Linked DNA regions of Yarrowia lipolytica. The main gene of each other region encodes a partner of the protein of the gene in region 2 in a complex. Links are inferred from orthologs where the notes say so. Each region holds a gene or a part of one and is shown on either strand. Other genes may lie near its edges. The genes, in order: YALI1_E05972g and YALI1_C29983g.

What was found.
Region 1: YALI1_C29983g (region 2) and YALI1_E05972g share a complex: the UniProt entries of both Saccharomyces cerevisiae proteins name them as parts of the CTF18-RFC complex. The link is inferred for Yarrowia lipolytica from reciprocal best matches to the Saccharomyces cerevisiae genes RFC5 and CTF8.

Annotation. Positions count from the first base shown.
Region 1 is NC_090774.1:594,982-606,149, forward strand, and holds YALI1_E05972g (uncharacterized protein), read right to left. Parts: upstream 2,260-11,168; coding exon 1,900-2,259; downstream 1-1,899. Other genes in the region: YALI1_E05963g (uncharacterized protein), read right to left, coding at 409-1,353; YALI1_E05975g (uncharacterized protein), read left to right, coding at 2,617-4,005; YALI1_E05994g (uncharacterized protein), read right to left, coding at 4,240-4,419, 4,497-4,574; YALI1_E06015g (uncharacterized protein), read right to left, coding at 5,534-6,607, 7,125-7,151; YALI1_E06028g (uncharacterized protein), read right to left, coding at 7,297-7,848; YALI1_E06031g (uncharacterized protein), read left to right, coding at 8,169-8,582; YALI1_E06056g (uncharacterized protein), read right to left, coding at 8,866-10,674; YALI1_E06065g (uncharacterized protein), read right to left, coding at 11,048-11,168. UniProt on the Saccharomyces cerevisiae protein: Essential for the fidelity of chromosome transmission. Required for the DNA replication block checkpoint.
Region 2 is NC_090772.1:2,992,897-3,004,543, forward strand, and holds YALI1_C29983g (uncharacterized protein), read right to left. Parts: upstream 5,452-11,647; coding exon 4,405-5,451; downstream 1-4,404. Other genes in the region: YALI1_C29926g (uncharacterized protein), read left to right, coding at 1-3,746; YALI1_C29968g (uncharacterized protein), read left to right, coding at 3,927-4,355; YALI1_C30007g (uncharacterized protein), read right to left, coding at 7,313-7,885; YALI1_C30022g (uncharacterized protein), read left to right, coding at 9,327-11,647. UniProt on the Saccharomyces cerevisiae protein: Component of ATP-dependent clamp loader (RFC and RFC-like) complexes for DNA clamps, such as the POL30/PCNA homotrimer and the checkpoint clamp DDC1:MEC3:RAD17 complex.

The DNA.
Region 1 (11,168 bases), on a different chromosome or scaffold from region 2:
GCATGAGGTAATCCATATGAAGTATGATATGTTCTGCCAACATTATGTACGGATATACTGTTTATACATATATGAATAGCTCCGCCTTGTCGAGCTACGAGTAGTACTATATCCCCATCCTTCCTACGCGGCATTTCCCTCTACATTTCCAACACTTCTACGAGCCAAGTTTGAGTACAAGTACACGTACAGTATCGGATCCATGGTCAGTGATTATTTATATACATTATCTTGAATCTACAGTAGGTCTAGTGTTTAGGGAAAGGGCATACATGATATGTGGGTTGGTGGATCACATTACTCGATCCACGCTCACTCGGTATGTAGCAGTAACTACGGTACCGCACCACTCAGCCCATGCGTATTGTTTAGTAACACCCACTTTCGCTGAGAAATACAGCTGACTTTCTAACAGGAGACCCAGAAACCAGCCTCCTTGGCTCTCACAATCTCAATCTTTTGAGCCTCCACCTTGCCACTCTTCTTAGTCAAGAACCACAGATCCTTGACTCCCAGGCCCTCCAGATATTCGAGAGTTTTCTTATAGTTGAGTCCCACTTGGGCTACTCCGTGACTATCGTCTGACAGACACAGTCGTCCTCCTCGGTTAATAACAGCTTTGCAAATGTCAGGCCGGGGATAGGGAGTATTCCAACCCTTTCGAAGAGGAGCAGAAGACACCTCAATGAAACCTCCATAGGAGATGATGAAATCGATGTTCTTGATGATCTGGTCCCAAACATCTGGCCAGTTCTCTCGCACGTAGTTCTCGGTGGCTCCAAAGCCTTCTCTAATGGTGGAGTACAGTCGAATGAGATCAAAATGAGCAACCACCTCGGGCTTAAGTTTCTGTAGCATGTTCCATTGGATCTCGTAGTACTTTTTGTAGAGAGCATGTTCAGGAGTAGTCTGGTCGTCAATCATATCGGACACAGAGTCAGAAGCATCGCACCATTGGCCCTGGCTGAAATCAATAGGAATGCCGTTGACGTGGTGCACAGATCCAACACACAGGTCAAGACCATAGTGCTTCTTGAGCTCAACCGCTCGATCCCAGCACTCGGCTCGGATAGACTCACACTCAAAGCCCACCAGAATCTCTGTGTTGGAAGTGTTATCCTTCTGTAGCTGTCGAGCATGTTTCACATAATCGTCAAAGACCTTAGCGAGATCAACAGGAGTAGTTTTGGACTCAATCTCCTCAGGATACAGATCGGTCTCCCTGGATCGAGGCATATGTTCTGTGAGACAGAAAACGTCGAATTTCTTGTCCTTGGCTGCCTGGACACATTCTTCAAGACTATCCTTAGCGTGTTGGACGTACTGTCCCGAGTGCGAGTGGTGAGAGTGCATGTTGGTGGTTGAGAAGAATGTCAATCACTGCTTGTCGAGGCACCACTGTGGTTATCGTGAGATGCATGCAATTAGGCTTTTGATAGTGACAACGGGAAAAAAAGACTTGTGTAGCTAACCGAAGGTCATATGGGTCATAGGCGAGGATTTCGAACAATGTAGCTCCAGGAATCACTTCTTGAAGACTGGAGGAGCGTAAAAGATCGTTTCCGTGCGCATTCGCATCATGAGGGTGTTTTAAAGAGTGCTGTTGTGCCTTCAATAGCCGCCAGTAGTCATAAGCAAATACAAGAATCGGATTCCAATCAATTATTTTAATACTTACAGCCATGTCGTTACAATGCATTTTTATTACCTATAAATATGTTGATTTGATGCTGTTTTTTTTGAGGCGGTTCACAGTGAGTCAAGAAGAGACTGTTGGTGTATCTTGTCGAGCATTCTTTAATGCACTGAATGCTGGCAACTGGGGCGTATGTGCTGTAGTAGAGCACATCCTTTCTTTACAGCCGAGCAGACCTTTCATAACTCGACAGTGTATGGGTTCTACTCCTCCGCTCCAACAGGCTCGGGAATGTCTGTGAAGGAGACCTTGTGGGTGACAATCTCAATGAGATCTACCTGATGCCGGTTTTCGGGGTCCATTTTGAGCAGCCCCAGAGGCTTGTCGAGCTTCTTTATCGATCCTCGCATTCGCTGTTTCCCGTCAATCACCAGAGTGGCTTTTTTCTCTTCAAATTCAATGGATCCAACGCGTCTTGATCCCTCCTGCAAATGTGCCTTACTGACCACTTCTCCCTGGATTTCCACAATGGCCATTCCCGATGGGGTCTGGATCATCTGAGGCACGGATTCCACATGGTCGTTTTGTCGTAAGTGGTCCAGAAATATGTTGGTCACGTTCATGTCAATGGTTGTCAAGTACACAGTGAGTGGATCTCTTAATTTAGCACGCACTGTAGACGCGCATTTGAGTTTGGGTGTGGAGAAGGGAGAAGAGCTCTAAAAAAGGTAGAGAGAGATGGTTAGGTGAATAAAGGGAGTGGCTGACGAGATGGGTGTAAGCGTAATCTTTGTATAAGACTGTTTACTATATACCGAGTGAATTTTTGCTTCAGAATCTCATTGTATCACCCCTTTAGTGGCTCTCAACCTCGTCTACTTTTTCGAACCTCTGAATATGCATGTCCCAGCGCAACTCTACGTGGGATAAATATCATCTCCACCAAAACAGTCATTATCCACCTCAACCCAGCCATCATAATGACGTCTCTGGCCAACCTGATATACGCACAGACTCTCTACAAGTACGCGATCGACAACAGCGTCAAATCGGTAGTCGTGTTACCAGATATCCCCCAACCTATCGCCGAGTACATGGCAACACAAGTTCCCAAACACCCATTGATTCAACCCGACATTCTCAGCATGACAGGAGGCCCTTCCTCGCTAACTGCCGCCCATTGTCAAAAGTGGTGGCGTCAGATGATCTCATCGACGAAAATTGCAGAAAAGGAACTCGCTCTGAGCAGTTTGGCCAAGTTGGTGGATGGATTCAGACATGTTTTGTACAACGAGACGGTGGCTGGTCTGAAAGCCGACGAGGTGAAATTCAAGCATCTGAAGGAGATGGAGCGGGATAAAAAGATTAAGGCCGAAACTGAGCGATTAGAGAAGGAAAGACTAGAGAAGGAGAGACTACAAAAGGAACAACAGGAAAAAGAACAACAGGCCAGACGGGAGGCACTAGAAGCTAGCAAAGAGCAGGAAGAGGCCTCAAAAGCTCAGCAATCAATGACGAAATCTGACGACGAGGACGTAGAGATGACTGACGCTGTGGAGGAATTGAAGGAGAACGAAAACAGCAGTAAGAAGGAGCAGGCTGAAGTTGAGACTACAGAGGCTGATGTGGAGTCAGTAAAGGTCAAGGAGGAAGAAAAGGACACTGAGGTCGAGACCGAAAAGAAGACAGTAGAGGCTGAGGCTGAGGCTGAGGCTGAGGCTGAGGCTGAGGCTGAGGCTGAAGAGCAGAATTACAAGGATGAAGAGGAGCAGGCTGATGGTGCAGAGGCAGATGTCGAGTCGGACGCGAGGGAGGCTGAGGAGTCGGGGTCCGACAAGGAAACGACTGCCGACGTGGAGACCGACCGTGGAGAGACAGAAGAACCCGATGAGAGCGAATTAGACCGGGTGACGGAAACTCCAGAGGCAGGAGCTACTCCTGGATCCGAGGAACGGACTCGAAAGCGAGCACGATCTACCACTGAAGACTCTGATTCGCGAAAGCGGTCGCGCCGAAACACCTCTGCTGCCCCTTCGGCCAACCGCAAGTTTCAGAACGTGGCTGGCAATCTGCTCTCGAACATCTCATCCAACAAATCTGCGTCTTTCTTCACACACCCTGTCAATCCCAACAGTGCGCCCAACTACTACGAGTTGATCTTTTCGCCGACGGACATCCGGACCATCAAGGCCCAGGTCAAGGACGGACGTATTTCATCCACTTCTGAGCTTGAACGTGAGGTCGCCAAGATGTTTGCCAACGCCATCATGTACAACCCTTGGGACTCTGATGTAAACCTGTGGGCTCGAGAGATGCAGCAGGAGACTGATGCTCTCTTGACCTTGTTTCGGGGAGCAGGTGGGGAGTAGAACATAATTACGATTGATAATGATTACAAATGTATAACACCATGTTTGCAGTTGCAACTAAAGTGGTGCAGCTATGAGTGGCACAGTCCAGTATGATCAGACTCCGGGCAGATGATGATAGTGATGCAGAATAAATACAATATCAAAGTACAACAAGGGCAACATCAAACACAATCATTGGGGTTGCACCGCCTCATCTAGTAACTCGAACAGGGATCAATTAATATGTACATTTTATCTCTTCTGCATAAGAGCAGCGTTCTGTTCCTGGAATCTCTGGCCGACTCGTTCAGAGTGCTTGAGGAACTTCTCGGAGCACTTCTCGAGACAAGACTCTTCTCGGGAAGACAGAGCCTTGGAGGTGAAGTCGTTGACACAGTCAGTGAAGCATCGCTGGACGAGAGAGGAGTAGAGCTGGGTTAGTATGTGTGGTGTGGTGTTGTGTTCTGTTCTGTTGTCGTGGTTGTCATCAAGAAATTTGGAATACTCACTCGCATGAAATCCTTCATCTGCTTCTGCTCGACGAGCTGCTGGAACTCCTGCTGTTCTCGGTTGTTCAATTGATCCATCTTGTGTTGTGATTTGGGTGACTGATGTGTGTGATTGTCTTGAGCAACAACGAATACTTTTCACTCCCAGGTGGAAAAGGGTATCACGTGTCGAGTTTATTTTCCAGAGAGGGGCGAGTGTGATTGGGCTGAAATATGGCGTTCAAAGGCTTTTCAGAGTCCCGTGAGCATATAATATCATTGTGCACTGTTGAAATAACTACATCTTCTCATTCTTCTGATATTTCGCCCTCAATGAACCGCTGCACTCCTATTGCCACTCATCACCAAATCTCGGTATGAACCTTGTAGAGTTCGGAGAAGCTGGGAGAATCACGGCTTCAAGAAGTCTCATAAACACGCAATTTGAGCGGTATTGAAAATCTAACATTTTAGTTGGACTCATCTTATCGCAAGTACCGACCAAAAAACTTGAAATTCTCGATTTTGCGCGCCGAAACATCATGTTCAACGCACCTTCTTATGCACTCTTTATCACGGTGATATAGTTGTTCAGTATTTCTACAAGTACAAGTTCTGGTAAAAACCTATAACCTTACCCAACTCCATCACACCCAGTGAAGAAATATGCCTCACTGAATCCTCAAACAAAACACCTTGACCAGCGAATATGTGGAATGTCCATCTTTAGAATACACAAACACACTCGTACAAGTACCGTACCAGCCACATACTTCAAATACACTTCTCTATCACAATATTCCCTTGCTTAAACACATTGCTACAAGGGTTAAACCACAGGGTGCCATCTTACAGTATATGTATCGTACAGTGGTTAAGATTAGTTTATCTCCGGATCATCAGAGTTAATCATACCCATAGATACAGCTGCGGAAAGGCGATTGTTATACAGCATGGCACATTATTACAAGAACCGTGTACATCCACACTAAATCCATCACACCCACTACTCATCAATAATTCGTTCAATGTCATAATATCATCTAAATCATACATAATTACTGGAGCTTGTTGATAACAGCCATGGTGAACTCGTCAGTAGTGGAGTTGCCGCCAAGATCGGGGGTTCGGACCTGGCCCTCAGCAAGAACGTCGTAGGTAGCCTTGGAGATGACGTCAGCGAAGTCATCGAGGTTGAGGTGTCGCAGAAGCATGGCGGAAGACAGAATCATGGCGGTGGGGTTAGCGGTACCTCGGCCCTTAATGTCAAGACCGACGTGTCGGCAACCGGGCTCGAAAACGGCGTGCTCGGTACCCAGGTTGACACCAGGGACGAGACCGGGGCCTCCAACAAGACCGGCACCAATGTTAGACAGAATGGTTCCGTAAAGGTTAGGGGTGACGAGAACGTCAAACTGCTGGGGCCAAGAGACGGCCTGCATGGAGGCGTTGTCGACAATCATGTCGCCGTACTGGATCTCGGGGTACTCGGCGGAGACCTCCTTACAGGTGTTTCGGAACAGACCATCGGCAAGCTTCATAATGTTGGCCTTGTGGATGGCAGTGACCTTGTGTCGGTTGTTCTTGAGAGCAAAGTCAAAGGCAAATCGGGCAATTCGCTCGGACTTTCGCTTGGTGATGACCTTGATGGACTCAACAACACCGGGGACAGGGGAGTGCTCCAGACCGGAGTACTCACCCTCAGTGTTCTCTCGGATCAGAGCCATGTCAATGCCGTCGAGTCGGGTCTGGACACCGGGGATGTTCTTGATGAGAACGAGAGAAGCAAAAATGTCGAGCTCTCGTCGCAGGGCAACGTTGAAAGAAGTGTGACCGTGCTTCTCAACGGGGGTGTGGAGGATACCCTTGATGGCAACCTTGTTTCGGTTGATGGATCGAATGGCCTCCTCGTAGCCGTCGAGATGGTTCTCGCCAACACCGGTGACATTGACAACCTCCCAGTCAATGGGGACGGAGATAGTCTTGAAGATGGTCTTGACAGCGTCAGTAATCTCGTTACCGATACCATCACCGGGGATGAGGGTGACGGTGTACTTGGATCCGTACTCCTTGGGCTGGAACATGGTTCGAGCGTTGGTAGCGAGGGTTCGCTTGGGGAGAGCCGAGGCGGCCTGGGTTAGTATGTTATCCTAATGTTTTGGTGTCGATGATAGTTATTGTGGTGTGCGGCAATTAACACAAAACACACCAGCAACAGCAGCGGCGTGCGACAACAACGTAAACAGGTGTCTTCGTATCCGCATCGCCTCAATTGTTCTCCATTCCCCTGTCCCCACACAGTGTGCTACTGCCCGCTACTATTTTTCTCCGTAGCACATGCAGGAAAAAAAATAGTGGAGGGAAAATAAATACACGCATAGATGTTCCGGGGGTGGTGGTGACGTGGACAGGACCAAAGTAGGAGACTGTGGAGCAATCGGCGCCGGAGTTGCGACATACACTAGCCATTGGTCTCAATGGCGTCTTCCCCTGCCCCGAGTCTCTGTCTGTGATGCTGTTGTTGTTTCCGAGAAAATGTTATGGGTTGTACACAGATGTCGTCGGTCATGTAGCGCGCATCGCTGTGCCATGGAGCGGTGCTTCCATTGCACCTTGAGTCACCTCCATTGACTCGCCCGGAGTACTCACCTTAGCCAGGTAGGCGGTTCGAAGCATTGTGGATGTGGATATGTTTTCGATTAGACGACAAGATGTTGCCAAAAGGTGTCCTAGTTAAAGAAGAGAGAGAGAGAGAGTTTTATGTGGGAGGATGCAAAAAAAGCTTTTACGAAATTAAGGACGGCGAGGTTTAAACACGGCGTCAGAGCGAAACCTCTATTTCGAAGGAGACAAGCTTGAAGAAGAGAGCTGCGCCAGGGGCATTAAAAAGAGTGTCTGGCACGTCACACTGGGCTCGTGGCGAGCCATTCGATATTCCTAGGCCATATACTACTTGGAAAACTTTTTCCTGCGGCTCCATCTGTACCCTGTCAGCTGCACCATACTCCGCCAAAAAATTTACATTGTTACATTCATTTACATGTACACGTTTCTCCCACATATCTCCATGCAAATCGGAAAAACAACATCCGTCCGGGTACCCGACCATAGAGGCTTTTATCCGCTTAGCTCCGAGCAGGGGGGATATGAATGGGGGCTTAAGGGGTGTCGAAATAATCGGTGGAGGTCGACCGGAACGTTCAAATTGACTAACGATGCCAATTGAGACGTCCAACGGTGTCTCATACTCACGGTTGCTCCAATAACCGCGTTCTTTTGTCTCGTCATACTTGCACCCTTGGCTCCTCTCTTTGCTCCCATCCAGCTTTGACTTCTTCTTTGACTTCGAAGTCTGCGTGTGTGCAGTGCCCATTGGCCAAAAGTAGGAAAAACCTTGCACCGAAACACGATCCGGAGCGACCCGGATAATGGATATTAGTGGGAGTTTGGGGAGCCGGTGAACTAGCTTTGATCTTGGGAACAACGTCTGCGCTAGCGGATATGGTTAGCACATTTCCACAATTCTAAGTGTCGATGACGCAGATGAGAATCGAACGCGCACACAGAATCCAAACCTTAAACAAAAACCACGGGTACAACAGCCCAAATTGAACTCGCGATATCAGGGCAGAATCAAACTACAAGTAGCACTATCAAAATCGTGATCCTGATCAGATCAACGGCATCAACAATATGTCGAAGTCCCTAAACCTTTACAGATCGCTCTATCGAGAGCTGTCAAAGCAGTATGTCGCTGCAATGACCGTCCACATCAACGGTGAGAACCAGCGAAACGAAGCCAAGGCGAAGTACGAGGCGATCCAGAAGAAAACTACACCCAAGGCCATTGAGAAGCTGCCCACACCCCGAACTTCACATTACAACAGTACTGCTCTCAGAGAGTACTTCACAAACGGAACCGGAGAGGCCGAACAGATCCAGCACGCCGAGGACATGCTGCTGTTTCTGGAGAACCAGCGAGTTTACAAGGACCTGCTGGCCCGATACAACCCTGGAGTGGATATGGCCGATCAGGAGAGAGTGCGACTTTCTGCCCGAAGAGTCGGACTGGAAGTGCCCGTTGGAAAGAAGGACTTTGAGGATTAATTGTATATAGCGTAGTAATGAGTAACGAGTCTAGACGACGAATTATTTGTACGAGTATACTACAGTGCTGATAATACATGAGGTTTCTCTGCAACCGCCTACTTGTAGTAATGACGATAAACACATGAATTTGATACACAAGGTGGTACTTGTGCATTGCAGTCTCATTCATTTGTGCATTTAATAAATAAATATCATCGTCTAGTCACATCTTCTCTTAGGCGGACTCGTAATGTCCACCGGCTACCATTGTAGCAATGAGACAGCCCCCGCTGTTAACAATTCATTTCCTCCCACTGGTCCCTTTGATAACTTCCTGGCGAGCTCTAACAGCAGACCAGAAACTGCCGTAGCTCCATGTCAGCTTCTCAGCTCCTTGCATGAACCCATCGTATCTATTGAATTGCTCCGACATATCTCCATTGTTAGCCTGATGCTCTCTGATGACATCCAAGAACGAGTCACCGAGGTCAACGAGACGGTCCAACAGATGCTGATACTCTTCGGAGTCTCTAGCAATGCGGTCAGAAGACACAAACGTACCATAAAACTCCTTGGTGAGACTATTGATCTCAAGAACAAAATCAGACGACTGCTGGGCCAAGTGGTGAGCAATGAAGAATATGGTCTCTGCAATGGTAGCGGTACAGATGAACCAAGGATTGCCATGAGAGGTTCCCACTCCATCGTAGACGTCCTCAGCATAACGACCAACACCAACGGCGACGTACCCAGGATTTTCATCCTGGAAAGACTCCTCGAACTCAGCTAATCGTTGATGATTAATAGGGTAGTCGAAGGAGTGCACATAAGGCATGATAGTAGCAATGAGAAGATCGTCGTAGGGCTTGAGAGATGTACCTGCAGCTATGCTAGACTCCCATCTAACCGAGTCAAGAGCGGCCAAGAATATGGAGGAATCAAGGCCCGACCTTCCAAAACTTCTGGGCTCAAATTGTGCATTCAGCCGAGAACCAGCCTCGAAATGTGTCTTGATGAATTGTCGAATCGATCCAGCAGTGAATGTACATCTGCTTTCGGTCTCTCGATCTGAGTAATGTCTTGCAAGTTCCACGACGTTAATGAGAGCGTTGAACTGCACTTGAGAAGTGAAGAGATGGTAGCCCTCCAGTTCCTCCCAGAGATCAAAAGTCGGCTGATCCCAATACTGTAGAATGTACTCGACATCGGGTAGGATCATAGACTTGTAGATATACACATAGTCGTCGAGAGAAGCTGTTTCATTCCACTCCACCTGGGTTTGAATATAATGCGAGATCGTTTTAATTCTGAGTGCAGGTCCATCATTCTGAGGTCTACCCCAGTGCCCTGTGAATGCTGAGCCGTCAGTCTCAAATTTAGGCTCTCCCAAACCACTAACAACACGTCTGTTCCAGTCAAAGTACCCGGAGGGATTGCTGACGTGCTGCAACATGCCTTGAGTCTCAATGTATCCCATGATGATGTTGCTGAGTGTGTCGTTCAGTATACCTTGACTAGCCTGGTCATAGAACCGCCGCACAACTGAGTCCATGGTGATGGCAGCATCCCGAGTCCATTGGTAATAGTAGTCAGGGGCCGTTTTAGAGGGACTAGCGATAACAACGCCTACGGGAAGACCGTTGTTGCTACCTTGGTGTCCCACATTGTCGAGGACAGACTCAAAGGCGTGATGAGTCTGCTGAGCGAGCCACAACTCGAATTTCTGGGCGTCAATGAGTGTCACGTTTGGTCTCGCGTATGGTGCCAGCAACAGAGGCTTCTGATCGAATAGCGGAAGCGCTAGAGACCCTGGAAGTGCTAAAACAGAAACAAACGCTTGTAGCAACATCGTCGGTATGTGTGTATGTGTGTGTGTGTGTGTGTGTGTGTGTGTGTGTGTAAGGATGAGAATAGCGCAATCAAGCCATTTATAGCAAAAGAGAGAAGGTGTAGGTACCTGCACAAGAAGAAAATCGTGCTTGTCGGAGAAAAGCAAAACTGTCACTTCTGCACCATGCGTTCGCGCTCTTGTTTTGTTGTGGTAGTATTTTTTAGCACTCACGGTTCTGCATTGAGATTTACCTCTTGCTGTGTGACCATCCTTCCGCATGACCTTGGTACGTGATAAAGTGTACCCGCTTGAGAGATGTACAAAGATGTACGGAGATATGATACGTGTGCCGGCCGCGCGTAACGTGACTATTAAGATAAGTATAATATTTTCGACTCTACAAGCACCAAAAACAGGTCACTCGTTCTAGTATTTTTTTACCACATTTCCCCAGCTTTTGCTTTCATTCTTTCATACCACTAACGTGAAGACCAAGGTTACATGTGTAGGGATATTATTGGCACTACTGTAAGAAGGACAAAGAAACCACAAGGGGGCCGATGCCCACGATGACCCTGTGGACGGAGTCCTCTTCTGGGATATGAGCTGTGTCATATGAGCTGTGTCAGGTGCTTCACGGTCCGTTGTCCTGTTATACGGAGATATGTGGGTGGGCCATGTACGGTAGAGAGGGGGTAATAGCATGTAGTAAGACACACACACAGAGAATGTCACATGACCTACGATACGAGTACGAGAACACATACATACAA
Region 2 (11,647 bases):
GCCGAATCAACCTGCAACTCCGTTCCAAGAGGACACGTGGCGAGAAGTTACCCGAGGAGTGTAGTTTTCTGGCCAACATTGTGCTATGCAAAGCTACACCATTCTACGGATACCATGAGGGATGGAGATACTACCTGAAGATCGTGGTGGTGGACCCTAGTCATGTTGGAATGCTGGTGGACATGTTCAGGAACGGTGTGTTTGGATGGGACCACTCGCGTGTGTTTGAGAGCCACTTGTCTTACATTTTGCAATTCTTTTGCGACTACAATTTGCATGGTTGTGGATGGATGGAGGCGTCCAGGTACATGATGAGAAGGGAAGGTATGATCTCCAAGTCGGAGTTTGAGGTTGACTTGCAGGCCGAATACATCTTAAACCGACTGGTGATTTCGACCAACAAGAAGCCAGGGGACAAGGCGTTCCATTCACTGAAAGAGCTGTGGACGAGCTTACAGAGCATTAGAGACAAGTTCAGCAAAGGCGAGTACAAGAGTGACTATGGAGAAAGGACTGTAAATGACCCGCGGGAGCAGTGGTTTTCAGCCCAGTCCATGTTCTCGGAGTTGGAGGAGAAGGTGAGCAAGGCAGACTCGGCCCATTCATACGTGCAGTTCTGGCCCAAAAGGCCATACGACAATCTCGTTCCCACAGCGTTTGAAACGACAAAATGCATGTTCAAGGGAGAGGGTGCCTCAGAAGTGGACAGTTTTGTGTTTGATGTGTCCTTTGACGATCTTCCTTCCATGTCCCAGGAAAAGAGAAGCAGTGCAACAAGAAAACACAGTTCCACTCCTCCCCCATCAACCAGGAAACAAAAGGGACTCAACTTCAAGGTGACCAAACCCAAGTTTGATGTTCCAAATACTGCAAAGACGAGTACTGCTGTTGCTACTGCTACTTTAACTACAACAGTCTACACTTTCAAGCCACCTCCATCGCGTGGACTGTGTATTACCGATTTAGACGACAACAACATGGCACAGAAAGTCTACCCAAAGCCGCACTACTCACGTGATTCAGACGTCCCCACAAAAACAATGACACACGGAGGCGTCACTTTTCGAATTCTGGGGTCTTCCGTAAAGTATCTACCAACGGGATTCCCCGAAAAGCCCTCAAACTATGCTCTTAAGGGCGTTGTTGAGCTGGCAAAGTCTCCTCCATCGCGTGATGACGTACTCAAGTGGATAGGAAAGACTACCAACAATGCTGATCTGTTTCTGTCCCAGATAGCGCCTCCTACCCAGAAGCCCAAGTACTCTTTCCCCAGTCAAAACACACTCTCCCAGCGACACGAGTCGGCTGCTTTAACGGTCATGAGCATGGAGGTTCATGTGAACACTCGAAAAGGTCTCAATCCAGACCCAGATCTTGACCCAATCCTGTTCGTTGTCTGGCACATGTTGGGTGGTCCCAGTGGAGTGATTATCAACGCCGAGGATTGCCCAGACTTCACAAACATCATCGAAGCACCTTCCACTGTCGTCAAAACAGAGTGTGAAATGATCACTCATCTTCAGAAAATGGTGGAGAACTTTGATCCTGACATTCTGACTGGCTTTGAAGTCCAAGCTTCTTCCTGGGGCTATGTTCAAGACCGTTGCAAGACCATGTTGTACCCATGTGAATTTGGAAGGGTTCAGCATCATAAGATGAGCTCGAAAATTGACACTTGGGGCGCACGAAAGGCTTCTGGAGTCAAAGTAGTTGGCCGTCATGTGCTCAACTTGTGGCGTATGATTCGTGGGGAGGTTTCTTTGTTGAAATACACGCTTGAGAATGTCGTCTTCCACGTTCTACACGAACGCATTCCCTTCTACACACACGATACGCTCACAGAAATGTGTGTGGGCAGTCTGTCTGACCGGAAATTACTTGTGGAGTACAAATGCACGCGGTCCAATTACAATCTGCAGCTCTTGAGCACTCTGGAGATTGTTTCACGAACAGCTGAGCAGGCTCGAGTGGTGGGAATCGACTTTTCGTCCGTCTACACCCGCGGCAGTCAGTACAAAGTCGAGTCGTTTCTTGCTCGCCTGACAAAAAGTGAGAACTTCATGCTGGCAAGCCCCAGTAGAGAACAGGTTGGTCAGCAGAATGCCCTGGAGTGCATTGCTTTGGTAATGGAGCCCGAATCTCGACTTTATACGAGCCCCGTTCTTGTTCTGGACTTTCAGTCTCTTTATCCTTCCGTCATCTTAGCCCACAATTACTGCTACTCCACCTGTTTGGGCAAATGGACTGATTTTGAAAAGGACGGAAACACTTTGGGAACGGAGAAACTGTTCTACAAGCCGTCTTTGGTAAAACGGTTGCTGACTAAAGACGATGTGACCATCTCTCCAAATGGCCTGGTGTTTGTGAAACCCCATATTCGAGTTTCTCTGTTAGCTCGAATGCTGGGTGAGATTCTGGAGACCAGATTCATGGTCAAGGATACTGCCAAGCTCGATAGAGACAATGTGTCGTTCCAGAGACTCAACCATAACCGACAGCTTGCTCTGAAGCTCGTGGCCAACGTCACATATGGATACACTTCTGCCTCCTTCTCTGGACGTATGCCCTGTGCCGAAATCGCTGACGCAATAGTTCAAAGTGGACGTGAGACGCTCGAAAAGTGCATTGACGTGATCCATGGATCGGACAAATGGGCAGCCAAGGTCGTCTACGGCGATACAGACTCGTTGTTTGTATGTCTACCTGGTCGTACCAAGGATGAAGCATTCAAGATTGGTACTGAGATCGCTGATACCATAACATCTGCCAATCCAGCACCCATGAAATTGCAGTTTGAAAAGGTCTATCTTCCTTGCATGCTCATATCCAAGAAGCGATACGTGGGCTACAAGTGGGAGTACTCGAAGCAGATGTATCCCATTTTCGACGCCAAGGGAATCGAAACTGTGCGACGAGACGGCACCCCTGCTGCCCAGAAGATTGAGGAGAAGGCTCTTCGTATCTTGTTTGACACTGCTGATTTATCTCTGGTCAAATCGTACCTCTACGAGCAGTGGACGAAGATTCTAACTGGTAAGGTCTCGATTCAGGACTTTTGTTTTGCCAAGGAAGTCAAGTTAGGCCAGTACAAGGAAGGGGGAGTGTTGCCCGCGGGTGCGAAGATCTCGGCTGAGAAAATGGCAGTCGACATGCGCTTTGAACCCCAGTACAAGGAACGTATCCCATATGTGGTTGTTGCTGGTCCTCCCAAAAGTCGGCTGATTGACCGATGTGTTTCTCCTGAAGAACTAGTCAGGAACGCCAACTCTCTCATTCTCGACGCCGACTACTACATTCACAAGACTCTGATTCCCCCTCTGGATCGGTTCTTTAACTGTGTGGGTGCTTCTGTTCTCAAGTGGTACGAGGAGATGCCCAAGAAGCGGCGGTACGAGTTTTACCAGACTGTTTCTCGAGCAAAGACCAACCAAACCACGCTCAAGTCGTACGCTGTGTCCAACTCGTGCATCGTCTGCAAGACTGCCCAGACGTCTGGCTTGTCTAAACTTTGCGCCACGTGCGAGAGTGATCCTGGTCATGCAACATTCGTGCTTAACTCCGATCTGAGGTACAGGGAGAAGCGGCTGGATGAGCTCAACACAATCTGCGCGCAGTGCTCAGGCGACTTTGAGACTAGGTGCGAGTCTCAGGACTGTCCTATTTACTACTCACGGGTCAAGGCAGTGAGTAAGGCGGAAGATGCAAGTGAGAGGCTAGTGGAGTGGACTGAGGGGCTGGAGTGGTGATGCAACGATGGAGAACTTATTTATTTGTATTGTAATATATTTATTTATAACTGCGCTGGTTGCCGTGTGTGCCTTCTGTACCACAGTCGAACCCTGGGTGAAGCGCCAAAGTGTTTCTGTAGTTGTGCCAGTATCAGCGTCTGTCCTACCAGTAGCTCGCGTCTTGACTCTAGTCCGTGGATGTCACCAAGTACAAAGAATCTAGAAGCACGGCGCCAACCCTCATTGGTGACACGAGGGGCTTCTTCTGCGATAATGGCCCTTCCTCACGAGCTCGCTATTCATAATTGCTTAGCAATATCCTGGGCGAGGAAACAGACACCTTCTGTTTCTCCCATTCCGAGTGGTAGGGTCTGCGAGGATATCCCTTTTCTCAGCTTCCCTTTTCTCAGCTTCCGAACACTTTCTGAACCAGTTCTGGGACGAAACTGCGATGTTGAACGCGTCATTGGCGCCACAGGCGATGATGGACCCGTTGAATGGACTACTGTACTTGAAGTAGCAGGGCAAAGGATATCTGCATGCTGTTCACTGCATCAGACCAACGCCTACTTTCAATCAATGCTTCATTATCTATATATATCCTTAGTCCTTCCTTCACTGCAATAGCACTGGCCAGTGTCTTTTGTTTTGCATGTACTTGCACTCACTTCACTGGTTACTCCTCCAACAAGACCATCACCTTTGCGCAAAACGCCTCCAGATGAAAGATATACTTCGCACCCAGCTTCAACCGATGCTCGTAGGTGGCTGCGGCAGAAATCAACGGCACCCTCAGATTGGCAGGCACCACCGGAATCAGTCTGTAGGTGAGCTCCTTGAGAATCGTCGAGGGAGGAATGCAATGGGAGAGCAGCTCATAAAAGAGCGATCTGATGGCCAACAGAGTGGCTGGGGTTCGAGATGACACGAGTTCTCGGGCAATACGGCCAATGACCATTTCCCAGTCAGGAGTAGGAATTGGAGTGTTTTCCGACACCGTTTTGGAGCCTGCAAAGGTGTACAGAGTCTCCAGAGTCAATAGAGCCTTCCGCAGGTTCCGGTCGCTATGCGAAGCAATCTTTTCCAGGGTTTTGGTGTTCTCAAGATCCACATGTTCCTTGGCAGCCACTTTTTCCAGTACGTTGACAATGTCCTGCTCGGTAGGTGCAGCGACTCGCACCAGCAGGGTTCGCGACCTGATGGGTGCAATGATATTGGAGGTGGAGTTAGTGAGCAGAATCAGTCGGATATTCTTTGTGTATTTTTCCATGGTTCGTCTGAGGGCAGCCTGGGCGTCACGAGACAGCGAGTCGGCCTCGTTGATGATCACCACCTTGAACCGTTGTTTGGCATTGAGGTCGACCTGCTGAGTTTCAGCAGTTTCCTTGAGCAATTGCTGGATCACAAGACGGTCATTGTTGCCCATGTCGGACGGCGTCACTTCAAGATGGTAAGCCGAGCAAATGACGCCGAGCTCGAGTTCTCGCTTCGACGGCGTCACGAACTTGTGGGACTTGGTGCTGATTTTCTCCACGCTGGGGCCGTAGAGCTTTTTGAGCAGTCCCATGACTCGGGTCTTCTTGCCTGCTCCCGACGGTCCGTAGACGAGAAGATGAGGCAGATCGCCTGTCGCGGCAAGCGCGGAAAACCGCTCGGAGATGTCCTGGTGGTAATCCACGTGATCGAGGGACTTGGGACGGTGTTTATCTACCCAGAGAGACATGTTTTGGGGTTGATGTGGTGATGGAGAAAATGGGACATGTAGAGACGCGTGTAAAAGTGATTTGGCGTTTAGAGTTTGCCAGTTGTAGAGATTGATGGAGGATACAAGGGTGTTGAGAAGTCGGTATTCGGGGAAATATACCAATATAAGATGTCGTAGAAGGAGTGTGAATGGGTTGATGAATATTTAGAAAAAAAAACCAGTCAGATTTGATTGCAGTTGTACGGATTTTAGGAAAATACACACTACTGGGTAAAAGCTTAACAATAACTTGTGCTTGAGTCAACCAAGTCTAACTAAAGTGAAGAGCCCACCGAAAGGGCATTTACTATAGAGAGGAGAGTTTGATTTCCACTCAATTCCACTCAATTCCGCTTTAGTTCACATCATTAACACACATCATTGTCATCCATCTCCGTGTCGTTTTATTCTAACCCCATTTTTTCCTCCGAGTAATTATCCTCCCGCGTAAAATTCAGAACGGGATTTTCCACGCTCTTGTGGGTCGAGAAAACCCAATTTTCACAATCTGTCCGATATAGTGTAGGGGTTATCACTTCCGCCTTTCACGCGGAGAACCCGGGTTCGATTCCCGGTATCGGAGTGTCTTGTTTTTTTGCGTTTCCGACCCCCACCACGTCTGTGGTGCTTGCTGTCATTTTCACGTACATTTCTCTTGCTTGTCCTGCATCTCAGCATTCCATGCAAGGCTGAGTTTAGGTTGTCGTATTTCAGAAACTGTATCAAGTGAACGAATGAGGTGAAGAGATGAGGTGAAGAGATGAAGGAGAGACAATATTTGTAGCAATGAGGGCAATAATCAACAATTATTCGGGTTAATCACGTGGTACACTCCTGATTACCTTGTCCCCACGCCCTTGTCTTCCCTGATGCTTCCTGGATACCGTTAGCCCATGGTCATACCATTCATAGCCAACCGTCAACGTCTCTTGTCCAAGCTGAAGGAGGCTGATATTTGCGTCCGAAAGGTGAGCCATCGCGTTTCAAGCAGTTCCAAGTGGCTTTTCGAGCCCAAGAAGTAAGCCTTGAAGTAAAAGCCCTGTCAATAGACTCGTATCATAGTACAAGGCTTAGCTACAGATGTTCAGCAAGGGGTAATGGCTTGGTTACACGCCCAGCAAGGCTCAGCACTCCGCAGCAGACTCCACAAGGCTCAGCAAGCTCTACCAAGCCCAGCAAGGAGTTGTGTATGTGCCAGACTCAGCAGGATACGGTCAGCCAGGGGGTGCTCAGATGATGATGCACGACCTGTTCTCCTTCTTTTACCCGTACTTGTGCATCGTACTCGTAAATATTGGTCAGCTTCACGATCCGTCAGGTGGCTTGTGTCTCAGATCTATTGCTCGGGAGGGTCGATGGTTTGCAAAATTATTGGCGTTTGGGGAAATTATTAGGGGAAATTATCGGAGGAAATAATTCTATGGGCGCAAAGATTACTGCACTTTTGGCGATAGAGAGACCTCGGTGAAATAATAGTGGGTGGGTGCAAGTCTTGATCCAGTTGTGTACTTTGGCGGTTGTATCATGCTCGTCTAATTTTGTGCATGAGTGCATCTGGCACACAAGGGACCAACAAGTGATGACCCTTCTTCTGATACCCCGCTACACGAGGATCCAGAACCACGTTAGCAAGGTGAAACGGCCCTTTAGTGAGCGTCTATTGCTGTCGTGTTGGGAAATTAGTGTGTGACGTCACTAGACTGGATTAGTCGGCCGTCTGGGGTAAATTACACCCGCTTGGCTGCGTTAGCGCCGGTTTTTAGTTCCAACCCAGGAGCCAAAACACATGAGGTATTTCAGGTATTATAACCCTGGACGAGGGCTTGTGAACCCTGTCGATCTAAACAGTCTTGATTGTGGGAGGTGTTAGAGCCTCAGCCATAGATTGTTTCAGATGGGCAGTGTGGATTCTCTCCATCCTCGAGGTTGACTGTAGGCCTGTTTGGTGCCTGACAGGAGGTACAGTAAGGAGTATCCAGAATGTACAAGTAGCCTGGGCTGCGGACGGGCTAAGGAACAAGCACCGCTGGTGTCTATCGGGGGTGTGTGCCATCATGTGATGCACGCCATTGTGTTGATGTTCATTGTGGGTTGTGTTCCCGACAGGATCCACGCATCGGCCGTCGATCAACAGGGGGTTCCTGGTTGCTGAAACAGTTGTACCTGGGTGAGCTGTACAGTGTGGTGATGGACGGAGATTTATGCGGCTCCGATAGACAATCGAAGGTGCCATCACCAACGACTGGCCATAATAAGTGTCAGTGTGGTACGAGTACAGTAAGAGTACAGTACGTTGACTACCTGTTGCGCCTTGCACCGCCAACAAACAAGCTCCACAAAGCTCCAGAATGTGTGTACCTGTATCCCTAGCGCATTCCAGATTACCACTGGCGAATATCGTTTTACGTTCCATAATGAGATTGTACTTGTAGTATACACATTAGATTCGGGAGTTGTGAGCGTCTTGTTGCGGCCGTGTGTGGCGGAGGTGAAAAGAAAAAGAAAAAGAAAAAGAAAAAGAAAAATAGGTGACAGAGTGAGAATGCGGTGAGTGGCAGTCGCAGCTATGCACCCCCTGTTTCACCATGCAGGGGGCCGACGGCGATAAGTAGGGGTATGGAGCCGCTGGGGGTGTGTAGAAAAGCCAGCTGGAAGATGGCGACACAAGACACGTCCAAACAGCTTCGTCTCTGCGAAATTTTTCTTTTCTTGCTACAATTGAAACCTCCCTGACGGCGGTTTTGGTTCTACCGTGGGGCTCTTTGTTTGGGTTGGAACCTAGAGCGAAGTGCTAAAACTCTGTTGCCAGACACCTCCCGAAGCCTATCTAATTATAGTGGATGGCGGGAGGTATAACAGTGTGTTTGGGAGGGTGTTAGGGGGCCGCCAGAAGCGGTTTAAAGACGGAATATGGACATTGGCCGTCTTATAAAGCCCCTGGGAGCGGCCCCTTTCTCCCCCAACCAGCCAATATCCCGCTAGAACCCTCCCCACTCACCCGTCACACCATGTCTCACCCTGGCTAATATGGTTTCTGTCGCATTGACCACGCATGGCCACGGGCGAGACTAAAAGCGGAACTGAGAGAACGAGGATGGAGGTTGAATCGTGTGCAAAAGAGCAAAATTAAAGAATCGAAATTAATACCACCGGGTCTGGTGGTGTTGCAGACTGCTCTCGCCGGCTTGGTCACCCTCCACGTTCCGCTCTGAAGGTGTAACGTGGTTGCCACGGTGATGTCCACTCCCATACAGGCCCAAGTGTTTGTTTACAGAGTTTGATTGGACACGCGTGGCGTAGCAACGACTGTGGAGGCGGGACAGTGCCGGGCTCACGATGAGAACCGTTGCGGTGTCGACATCTCCATCCATCCACCAACCCCTGCAATTCATCAGCAATACCAACACACATCACTTCCTACTGCGGCCATACCGCTGTGCGCTGTTGTGTGCAAGTTTGACTTTAGACTGTATAGATAGGGGCTGCACAAACAAACATGACGTCTGTTTACTTCCCACCGTCCCAAATAAGCTTTGCACTACCCCTTTGCCAAAACGCCAGTGTTAAACACATCCTGGTCCTCCGTGATAGCTCCAACCGTAGGACGCTACTTTGTGAGGTTGGCTCGTGACTCGTTTCAGCATACTCACCTCCCCCCCAACGCACACACACTCAAACACAAACACATACCCCGTCTGTGTACACCCACAACCCCCTGGTACCCCACCATTCTACAGCTAGACCTGATCTGTACCCGCAGACCGGCTTGATACACAACAACTCCGCTACCATCGCCTCCAAAGAACATCATAACCAACCACGCATCCGCCATCGCACACAGGTACAGCACGCCCATGTCTCGACAAAAAAAATCGCGAGAAATCCGGTTCGGAGACTACATTCTGGGGTCGACTCTGGGCGAGGGAGAGTTTGGCAAGGTGAAAATCGGCTGGAGAAAGGACGGCAAGCAGCCCGAGCAGGTGGCCATCAAGCTCATCAAGCGCGAGACGGTGCCCCCAAACTCGAACCGCGAGGCCAAGGTGCATCGGGAGATTAACGCACTCAAAATCCTCACCCACCCCAACATTGTGCGGCTGGAGGAAGTCATTCAGAACGACAGATATATTGGAATAGTGCTGGAGTATGCGTCTGGCGGCGAGCTGTTTGACCACATTCTGACCCACAAGTACCTCAAGGAGGCCTCAGCCTGCCGCCTATTTGCACAACTCGTCTCAGGAGTCCACTACCTCCACTCCAAGGGTATTGTCCATAGAGACCTCAAGCTCGAAAACCTGCTGTTGGACAAACACAAAAACATCATCATCACGGACTTTGGCTTTGCCAACACCTTTTCAAGGGGCTCAGACGGCCACGTTTTCGATCTCATGGCCACATCCTGTGGCTCTCCCTGTTATGCTGCTCCAGAACTAGTGGTTTCGGACCAGAAATACACAGGCCGCAAGGTCGACGTATGGTCCTGCGGAGTCATTCTCTACGCCATGCTCTCTGGCTACCTGCCATACGACGATGACCCGGCCAACCCGGATTCGGACAACATCACCCAACTGTACAAGTACATCACCACGACGGCCCTCACGTTCCCCGAGTACGTGCCGCCGCTGCCACGGGACCTATTACGACGCATCTTGGTGCCGGACCCCCGAAAACGAATCTCGTTGAACGATGTCAGGTACCATTCGTGGCTGGCTCCCCATTCTCGTTTCCTGGCCATCACTCCTAAGGAATGGGAAGACGCAGTGGGCAAGGTGGCTGTCCCCGTCAAGACACACATGCCTCGATCCCACTCAGTCCAGCTTTCCTCTGGTGCTCCAGTCTTTGACTCACGACTCACAAAGCCCTCCGGAGTCAACATTCCCAACTTTTCGTACAATAATAGACATTCAGTTGGTGGAACGTACTCCAAGCCCATTCAGCGACAGGGGGAGTCTACCATTGGAGCAACTGTGTCCTCAAACACACCTGCAGGCCCAAGACCCATCAGTGCTGGCCCCTGTGCTGCCACAGCTGCTGCTGCTTCTGCCTCCAAGTCGCATGCTGCGGCGAACCCTCCCACCCACGCTTCCACGCCCTCAGTGGCCTCACTCAATATACCCGAAGATACCAACAACAATAGCACGTCCAATTCCCGACAAGCCCCCAGATCTGCCACATACACGGGCATTTCGCAACTCACATCACCCCCGGGGGCATCCCCCACGTCGCCCAAATTCGATTTTGATCTGCCCAAGCCTTCCATTGGCACCATCACTGAACAGCCCACGCCTCCCAGCAGTCCAAAGGTCAAGGAGAAGGGCAAGGAGGCGGATGATCTCGGACCACGTGATCTTCCTGCTGTCCCCGATACTGCTCCTGAAGCCACTCCTCCGGCTTCTGCGGCTGACACTATCCCCAGCGCCCCCGCTACGGCCCCCTCAGCCCCCGTGCTTGAACATCAGTCGTTTGGAGCGTCATTTGGCACCTCGTTTAGTTCGTCGTTTGCTGCTTCAGATCCATCTTCCCCTCTGGTATCGTCTACTCGTCTGCCTCCTGGACGAAAACCCCGACCCACATCCTACCAACCCACACCCACGCAGTCGTCCATGCAGCCACCGGACTCGTTCCCCTACATGCACATGGTTAACAAGAACGCCTCTGTGCCTGGTTCGGCCAACTCGGTGACCCCGACATCGTCGCAGCAGAGCGCTCAGCCGGTACCTCTGTCGCTGGTAACACCCAGTACGGCTGGCTCGACCTTCTTCCGACGCCCTTCGTCGGACGACTCGCAGATCTCATTCGATGAACGACGCAAGAGCGGCTCCTTTCTGGTGCCCCAGTCGTCACTGCCCAAGGTCAAGTACTCGGACTCCATGGTCCAGGGTGAGCTGTCGTCTCCGCAGTTCCGCAACTCGCCCAGCCAGGTGGCGCTCTCCAACTGGTCCAATAGAAATTCTGTGGCTTCAATGGAGAGTGGAGATGAGGGTGTTATCGGGGAGGTTGAGTCGGTTGCAGAAAAAAAGGAAACTGACAAGGAAGTTGTCGACACTGTGGCTCAGTCTGACACCACTTTGATGCCCCCTCCAGCCCTCCCCACCTCTGCACAGGTTCCTGGCAAGTCTACGACCCCCCGAGCGGTTTCAGCTGAGTCCAAGACAACCAGCACGTCCAGAACGTCCAT